Linked DNA regions of Mus musculus. The protein of the gene in region 1 interacts with the protein of each later gene in a biochemical or structural test. Links are inferred from orthologs where the notes say so. Each region holds a gene or a part of one and is shown in the gene's direction. Other genes may lie near its edges.

What was found.
Region 2: the proteins of Gnaz (region 1) and Rgs20 form a complex in vitro, tested with the Homo sapiens proteins (2 studies listed by BioGRID, with this or other methods). The link is inferred for Mus musculus from reciprocal best matches to the Homo sapiens genes GNAZ and RGS20.

Annotation. Positions count from the first base shown.
Region 1 is NC_000076.6:74,965,726-74,969,976, forward strand, and holds the start of Gnaz (guanine nucleotide-binding protein G(z) subunit alpha), read left to right. Parts: upstream 1-1,451; 5' UTR 1,452-1,657; intron 1,658-1,697; exon of another isoform or gene 1,698-3,385; intron 3,386-4,251. UniProt on the Homo sapiens protein: Guanine nucleotide-binding proteins (G proteins) are involved as modulators or transducers in various transmembrane signaling systems.
Region 2 is NC_000067.6:5,016,476-5,021,048, reverse strand, and holds the start of Rgs20 (regulator of G-protein signaling 20), read left to right. Parts: upstream 1-1,509; 5' UTR 1,510-1,669; coding exon 1,670-1,738; intron 1,739-2,314; exon of another isoform or gene 2,315-2,473; intron 2,474-4,573. UniProt on the Homo sapiens protein: Inhibits signal transduction by increasing the GTPase activity of G protein alpha subunits thereby driving them into their inactive GDP-bound form.

The DNA of each region.
Region 1 (4,251 bases):
TGGTAGTTGCCAGTGTCAGGTCCAGCAGACCCCAACCAGCCCAGGTAGACTGTCTAGGGACTAGCCTCTGCTCCCTCGCCAGGAATATTGTAAGTTCCATTGCAAATTCAACTGTCAAATGTAATTCCTACATTGGTTTTACCCTCAGCAGAAGGATGAACTCTGCCCCCTGAACCTGCTGCAGAAACTGCCTCTGCCCAGCCTAAATCACTTGCTAAGGTGTATTTCCTACATACATTAACCCTCTGAAGAGTCGATAGTACAGTTTTTGACAGATTAGGAGACTGACTCTCAGCCAGGTTCCAGTGACAGACTGGCTGCACAGCCGGATGAGTTGGTAGAAATGCTCTTTAGCCATTAGCAAAAGTCCTTCGGTCCTTATTGGTCACTGTAGCAAGACAGGTGTCTTGACTGGCTTCAGTAGTACCCATAACCAGTACCTGGTCCCATCCCTAAAAGTTTAGGCAGCCCTTTCACAGGTGGGCTGTCTACCTGGGGTATGCAGTACAACAGTCAGCCACTGCACAATTGAGACAATCCCACGGAAAGTGGTGTGATGTTGTCCTGCCTCTGGAGCGTCTAGCTGGCAAGCACCAACATTATCGTCATGGCTCCCCATCTCATCCTGGGCTCTAAGGCACATATGCTTAAAGTTACAAGGATGGAGAAGGCAGAGAGGCACTATTGTGGTGGCACCTGGCCTGAGTCTTTCTTGTACAGGAGTAAGGTACTACCAGCCAAGACCCACAGACGGACTCCTCCTGATGAGAGTAGAATCTCACAGCTAGGTTCGTTTGTCAAAGATCTGATGTCTCCTGGGGAGTTTCCAAAGAGGTCAGGGGCTTCATTGATCTGGGACCCTTCGGCTTCTCTCTGTTGCGGGGGTCGACTCCCAGAAGTGCCCCTACATGCTAAAAAAGGAGAGCAGAAGAGAGGGCGAACCATATGCTGCGAAATCTCTCCAGCTTAACCCATCAGGGTTTTCTCGCGCCCTAAAGGATTATTGACATTATCCAAGGAAGCCTGGACGACAGCACCTTGCAAAAAGACATTGTGGGAGAATAGGTTGCCAGGGCTGAGTTCGAACCCCATTTGAGGTAGGGCAGGAAAGCCAGCGTGCAAGGAACCGGGGCTACACTGCTCTGAAGGTGGGTTTCCCAAGATGCTAGAAGTAGCTTCGGGAAGGCTCGGCGCAGTGCAGTGCCACAGTAGCTGGAGCCAGCAGCGCGTGCGGTAAGGCGGCGCGCGCACAGCCGCGCCCCTCCCCTGTCTGTCGTTATTGGACTACTCGCACGTCCGTCGGCAGTTATCGCCCAATGGAAAACGAGCCGGAGCTAGTGGTCGGGCGGCAGCGCGTGGTGCGGGGCAGACAAGCGGCAGACCCCGCCCGCGGTTGGCCTGGCAACGGACTGCGCTCGCGACTCCGCCCCCTGCCGGCGGCGGCGCGGTGCGGGGCGGGTGGACCCGCTTGCAGGCGGCGCGGGAGGGCGGAGGAGGGAGCCAGGGCGGCGGAGCGTGTGTGCCACCCGCGGACCGGTCACGTCCTCGCGCGGCCGCCGGCACCCGCTTCGTGCAGAACCAGGGCGCCACAGCCCTACGCTCGCGGCCCCGCCCCGCCGGGTGCAGCTCGACCGACGCACGAAGCCGCGCCCGGGAGGTGAGTGAGTGAGCGCACCAGCGGCCCCGGCGCGCACAGCTGAACCCGGGGCTGGGGGCGCGGCTGGGGCGCACCCCACCCCCACCCGGGTCGGGGCCTGGGGCCTTTGTGCTGGGGACCCGAGATCTATAGGGCTAGGGGTGCAGAGGCAGGGATGCCCCTCCGGGTGGGAGAGCCCGCTAGGGGTGGGGTTGTCTGCTAGGTGGGCAGGGGGTGGCTATGGCCCAGACAGGTGCCTTGGGAGGGAGGAGCGGCGGCCCAGTAACCCTTGGAAGGGGTGGCTGCCACCTGACGAAATTGGGCAGGGGGTGCAGAGGATGATGTGGGACCACTGCACGCCCTGAGCGGGTGCGGAGTGCAGGCGGGCGATCTGCAGGAGCGACGCCAGGCGGGGGGTCTCTCTCCGGGGGTCCAGGGGTACAGGCAGCCGCAGGTGTCAGGAGCTTGGCCTTGGGTAAAAAAATAAAAAAATAAAAACGGGAAGAGAGGGCCCTGAGGCCCGGTACAACAGCTCGCTGTTCTCGGTCATCGCTCTTGCAACGGAGCAGGTTCCTTGGAGGCATTTGGAGCCAGAGATGAGTATCGACCTGCTGCGATTGTAATGTGTTCCTGGCTCAATATTTTTTCCCTTAAAAGGCGGTGGGGTGTTTGGGGAGGGGTGTGAGGGCCTCTGCTCCGGATCCTGCGGTGAATCTATGGGGGCTCTGCCTTTAGGGAGGTGCTGAGCCTATCTGGATGGAGGATGGCAGGAATCTGCCTAGGCCGAGAATTGGGGATCCTGTTACAGAGAGGAGGATGGGAAAGCAATGCCAAGTGAGACCAGGGTTCCCTGGAGTGTGAGTCTCAGGGTGGAGGGACCAGCCTGGTAACGATGTCGCCTTGTCTGTGGAGGAGATTGGGGCAGGACCCTGAGCCTTGACACTCTTTTCTGCCCAAGTGGTTTCTTAGCGCTGAGAATCATCATCTAGGTCTGCTAACCTGGCCCCTGTCTAGAGGAAGCTGCTTGGCCAGATTCAATTAAGCAAACATTTACTGAGTACTGGCTCCCCTAGGGCTTGTGCTAAGGTGGAAGGGTGGGAGTGGACTGGGCCAGCCCTCCCAGGACTGATTCACCTTCCTCAGGGGGAAATAGGGCTGTGCTCTGATAACCAGGCCTTCCTTCGGTGCAGTGCAGGGGGGCTTGGGAGGGGCCTGGGAGAGAGATACCCCGGGCTCAGGTCAGACCTGCCTATGGGCAATGTAACGTTTGAACTGGAGCTTGAAGGACACGGGCAGGGTCAGAATGGGCAATGTGGGCAGAGGGAAGAGAATGAATGGAGAGGCCCAGGAACTTGGGCAGCTGGCTGGGTTGGGAAGGAGCAGGGGAGGGATATTGAGGGAGGGAGGAGTCAGGACATGGATGAGGGAGGGGTGGGTGAAAGGCCAGAAAAAGCACAGGAAGGGAAATGGACAGAGGCACACCATGGCTGTCTGACCATGTTTGTGGGGCTGTCTCGGTGGAGACCACAGCCTCCGTGTCTATAAAAGGGAAGGTTCTGTGACCCCTGGAGCGTAGTTGTGTTAGAGAAAGAACTTCAGAGACCAGAGAGGGCTCCTGGCCACCTGGGACTGCCCTTGCAAGGCACCTTGTTCCTGGCAGAGCCAAGGGCCCTGGGTAACCAACCCACCCAGCCCCCTGCCCAGCCGAGATGAAGTCACCTGCTTTGAAGGAGACAGTTTTTTTAGCTGGTGAGTCTGGAGTTGGGAAGTTTTGGAAAAAAAAATGACTCTGGTAGGAAAGGCCATTGAGGGGACCCAGGAGGCTACAGAGGGTTGTCCCGTGCTTGGATAAAACAGCGCCTCTTCCATTTGCCTTCTCTAGACATGAAGAGATGCTTGCATTTGCTGTAAAACTCTTCCTGTGTGTTCCTCTAACAGATGCTTTCCTTTTTATGAGACAGGCTGTGAATAGACATAGTTCTTCCCCCATAGAAGGCCGATGTCACCTTCTGCCCTAGCTCTAGCTACTCCCTTCTTCCCAGAGATGGTTTTGGTTTCTCTCAGAAGGCCTGGTTCTTACTCATCCTGGTAGTGTGCCCACCATCAAAGATAGACATGTGCACACACACATGCACGCACACACACACACACACACACACACACACCCCTCCTCCACACACATACACACAGGATATTGGCTGAGGCTCAGGGTGCCCCAGCAAGAACACAGCCCACCTGCCCTTATAAAATACATGGTCTGTGCTTCTTGCCTGGCCCAGTCCAGGGACCTGCCATGGAACTCAGGGTTTGAAGCCTAGAGAATAGATTCTTAATTCTCTTGTCCCCAACCTCCTAGACCTTTTGGTACCTTTGGATTAAAAAAAAAAAAGTATCTCATCTATACCTCAAGAGATCCTGCGGATCCTATGGGGGGATCCAGCAGTATCTGGATGACTAAATACAGACACCGCTACCAAGATGCCCCTGCAGAGAAACTGCTGAGAAGGAGTCTTCTTGGGGGAGTGTATCCTCAGTCTAGCTAGTCTGAGTGCTCATGCGTGTGCACGAGTGTGTGTGTGTGTGTATGTGTGTGCACGCGCGCGTCCATGTGTGTG
Region 2 (4,573 bases), on another chromosome or scaffold:
GCCCTGCACAGCTCCCAGACTCCACCGGGTCGACTCATTTCGCCACCTTTCTAGCCTGCTCTCCAGCTGTTCTTGTGTCTTCTGCGGCGACCCCCTCCCGTGGCTTGCCTGGGCGCAGGGACTTTCCCTCTCAGCCAAGCTCCTGGCCTACTGCCTGGCTCTCTCCAGAGCCCCACCGCCTCCTGTTCCTACTTGTGGCCTCAATGGCACTGCCAGGACGACGTCCGAGGGGTCGTCTACTGAAGCTGGCAAGTCCGAATTCGGAGCCCAGAGGAGAGGACGCCTGTACTGAAAAGAGTTCACCCGAGTCCGTGAGTACTGGGAACTCCACTAAACCCACCCTCGGCTTCTGGAGGCCCCAGCCTTTCCCACTCGCTCTAATCCTGATTGACCCAGCCCACCCGGGCTGGCCTGGATACTGAAAGATTGGCACAGCGCTGGGCACACTGGAGGAAAGGGCACCTGAGGCTCCCGGACACTCCCACCTCCACCGAGGCATTAGAGCTACTTTCTCCCAAGCGATCTGTTCTGTTTCTACCATCCTAGGAAGCAAGAGGAAGCCCTCTGACGCCTCCGAAGATCTTTTCCAACTGTAGTTGCAGCTTCCCCTCGAGCCTCCCCAAGCATCCCCGCACTTTGTAACCGCTCGCAGCCGCGTTCATGCCCCCACTCCTCTTCCCAGGAAGAGGGAGGAAATGACGTGATGTTATTTTTGTGTCAGGTCACTTTGCTGCTTGAGTTTAGCCCTCCGAGCTCAGGCGCACTGCCCCAGGGGTTCACTTCAAGGGTTACTTCGCTAGCTGCGGCGACCCGGGCGAGGGGCATCCTCAGAGGTAGGCGCCAGGTTCTGCAAATGCCCGGGGCTTCCCCTCCCACCGCCTGAGTCGCAAAAGAAAGGGAGACTGCCGAGGGACTGAGAGAGACCGGAGTCCCGGCTTAGGCTTTCTTACATACACTCCACCCTGCCATCCCAATCGCCAGGTGGGGCCATCCGACTCTGGCTGGCTGGCCGGAACTGAGTAGGACCACTGTTTAGAGTGGGAGAACAGATCTCTTAGAAAGGCTATACAAAGAGAGTTGGGGGCGGATGTTAGTGGCGCTGAGGTCAAAGGGTTCAGTGGGGATTGTCCAGCAGGGGCGGGCAGTTCACAGGCGCGAGACCCGGGGTACAAAGCACCAGCTCCTCTCGCGACCTTTCCCCGTACCCCCAAGCATCTCTTCATTCACAAGGCCCCAGTACTCATTCACAAACTCTGGATCGCCCCCACCCCACGGCGTCCCCCGCAAGCTAAGGCCAGGGGATAAAGAGAAAGGGCCTTACAGGCACCCTCAAAGCTCGCTCCCGCCGCACCCATTATTTCGTTGCGATTATAAGAGAGGAGCCAGGACCGGGGCTCCGCTCGCCCGATTTGGGACTAGGGAGTACCCCCAGCCTCCGAGTGCTGCGTGCTGCCGCCAGAAGGAGGCGAGCCAGGGGATTGCCCTGCCCCAGGAAAGCGAGCGAGCGCCGGGGCGGAGAGGAGTCAGAGAAGGGAAAGGAGGAGGAAGAGAGAAGAGCTCCGGAGCTTAGACCCAGAAACGCAGGAAAGGGCGGGTGGCAGAGAGCCAGCGCGGGCGGAGTAGGAACCGCTCTGACTAGTGTAAGAAAACTAAGGCACACTCTGGACGCATGCGCACGGCCAACGGAGGCCCGAGGGCCAGAGCTTCCCCTTCGGCTAGCCCAGCGGACCCTGGCCTGGTAAGTACCTGGCGTCCTCCTCGTCTTCCTCTCTGACTCCCTGCCCCCCCCCCCCCCCGAAGCCCTGGACCTGGCAGTAGAAGGAGCTCGAGGAACCTGGGACGCCAGTCTCTCCTTGCCCGGTGGTGCAATCCCTGGCTGGTCATCGCCCTTAGGGTTAGTCAGTTGAGGCGAGTGGGTTGTGAGTTCGGAACATCTCATTGTCTGAGGGAAGGCTCCGAACCATTGTGATCGGTTATTATCAGACCCACCAAGCAGGTGGTCCGGACTCTGAGACTCAGCGAGGGACGAAAAATGCCATTAAGGTCTAAAGTGCACATCAGACATGCCAAGCATTTGGGAGAGCCCAAGCGAGTGGAAGAGTCTCGGCTCTCTCTCAGTTGGGGGAAGGATGCGCCTCGGTCTGAGGACCCGGGGCGGGCAATTTGAGCGCAGGTTGAGGAGGTGACACTCCCGGAACGCACTACCTCCCTTTCAGAGAAGCGCATCACAGGCCGGCTGGCGGAGCTGAGCTTCAAGTAGGCGCTCAGACCGCGCCCGGAGCGCTGCGGGCAGCAACACCAGACAACTGAGTAGACCGAACAGTCACTTAAGGGAGAGAGGGTGGGGATTGTCCTTATCGGGCCTGGGAGCTAGATTTCCCACACTCGGGGGGCTCGGGAGGTTGGAACCCGAGGACGTGCCGAGGCTGCAGCGACTGAAGGTTCGGGTAGGAAGCAGAGAGGCTGCGCGGAGGTGAGCGATGGGGAGTCGGGTCTTTGTATGATGGTGCCCTCAGACTTGGGGAAACTGGGCTGGCAAGGAGCCTAAAGGGAGACAGCTCCCTGGGACAAGGGTGTGCTCTTTCGGAGATCTGTGGCTAACCCCACCTACTGCTTCAGGGGAGTGGGTAAGGGAGAGGCCTCGGAAGCGGCACACGCGGGGGTGGGGTGGGTGTTTGGGGAGACGTTTCAATGCGCTGAAGGATTTCCACACTTAGGGAGTGGGCGACCGAAGGTGGGCGTTGGGGAGGGTACAGGCGCTGCGACCGCGCAGGTCTGAAGGTGTGAAGGTGGAGCGCGGGAGAGGTGGGCTCTCTGGGGCTGGGCTGGGTCAGGATCTTCCTCGAGTCCATAAGCAGCAAGCAAAACCTGGGCAAGAAGAGCTAGCTAGCCACACTCACACAACTGCTGATGGACGTGGGGCTAAAGCGGGCAAGGGGGTTCTGGCCATAGCAACTGCTGCCTCTGCGCCCTCAGGTGGAGAACAGAGCCACAGCGTGAAGAAAGTGGTGGTGCAGGAGGGTTTCTGTCCTGAGAGTGCTGGAAAGGAAATCCTCTCCAGAGACTGTGTTCTAGGCCACCCTCTTGTGGGTTTCCAAGACTTCACAGCCAGATAGCTGGCTGAATGGCCTTGGCGCCCACTCGCCACTGCAGGTTAATACAGCACAATTTCTGGGCTCGTGCTATGTAAAAACTAGTCAAATCGTTGAACAGACAGACGGCTCATGGGTTAAACGAATGTACTCTCAACAACCTGTAGCCTTAGTTCTAGGGGATCCAGTCTCCTCTTCTTGCTTCAGCAGGCACTTGGCATACTTGTAGTGTTCCCACATATATGCAGGCACTCATGCATAGATATAAAATTTGTAAATAAAAAATCTGTTCCTACTGTTATTATATTGATGCAACATGGGCCTAGTGGAGTTCAAAATCTAAAGACATTATGAACATATAAGTATGGATGCATCACTAGCCCCAGCTCTCCCAAGGCTAGGGAAGGAAAATATAGAACTTGAGATCAAGTGAGCTACATATTGTCATTCTTTCTCAAAAAAAAAAAAGGAATATAAAGATCAATAGCATGATGCCTGTTTTCATATGCTATAAACAATATGTTTACACACTAAAAAGGGTTTTGGTATCAAAAGCATGAAGCAGTAAATGTTTTCTCTCAATTCCTAAATTTAAATACAATTCATTTCTCTATCCCTGGACCCTTTGTGGATAAATAAGAGATATTTGCATATAAGCATCTAACATAATTTGAAGAGAACTTTTCTCTTTAAAAAGAGTTGGATTTGGTGAGATGTTACAACAGGTAAAGCACTTAGTGTGCAAGCCTGAGGACCTAAATTTAAATCCAGGCACCCAAAAGCACATGTAAATGTGGAAGGAAAGAACTGACTGCACAAACCTGTCCTCTGACCTCCTTGTGAACCATGTCTTCACCACCCCTCCAATACACCACACACAAAAACAACCAAGCAAACAAACAAGATCCCAATAGTAATGATTAAGTGCTTTAAAGAGTTGGGTTTATGGGGGCTAGATATATATTTCAGTTGATAGAGCACTTGTCTAAATGCACAAAGCCCCAGGTTCCAGCCCCAGCGCTGTGTAAACTTCTGTTGTGTCCATGAAGGTAATCCCAACACACAAGAGGATCGGAAGCTCAAGCCATTCTCCCTCACATAGCAAATTCAGAGCCAGGCTAGGCTACATGAGACCTTGTCTCAGACAATCAGGAAAAGAGTTCCTTTTGTTGACCAAATATACATTTAAAGAATTACACATTAAATCATGGCATTTATAAAATAGCCAATATAAATACTGAAGTGAGGTATTTGATCTTTTATTTAAGAAACATTTTGAAGAATACTAAACAATTCACCCCAAAAGCTATCTATCATATAAAATATAGGATGATTATGATTACTTCTTCGACCTTCTTCATTTTACAAATGAGGAAACATTCAGAGAGTTTAGGATTTCAACTAGTGAGCGGCTGAAGGAAGACTAGAATTCTGGCTCTTTCCTCATAGCTCTGACAAACTACACTGAGAATCTGTGATCC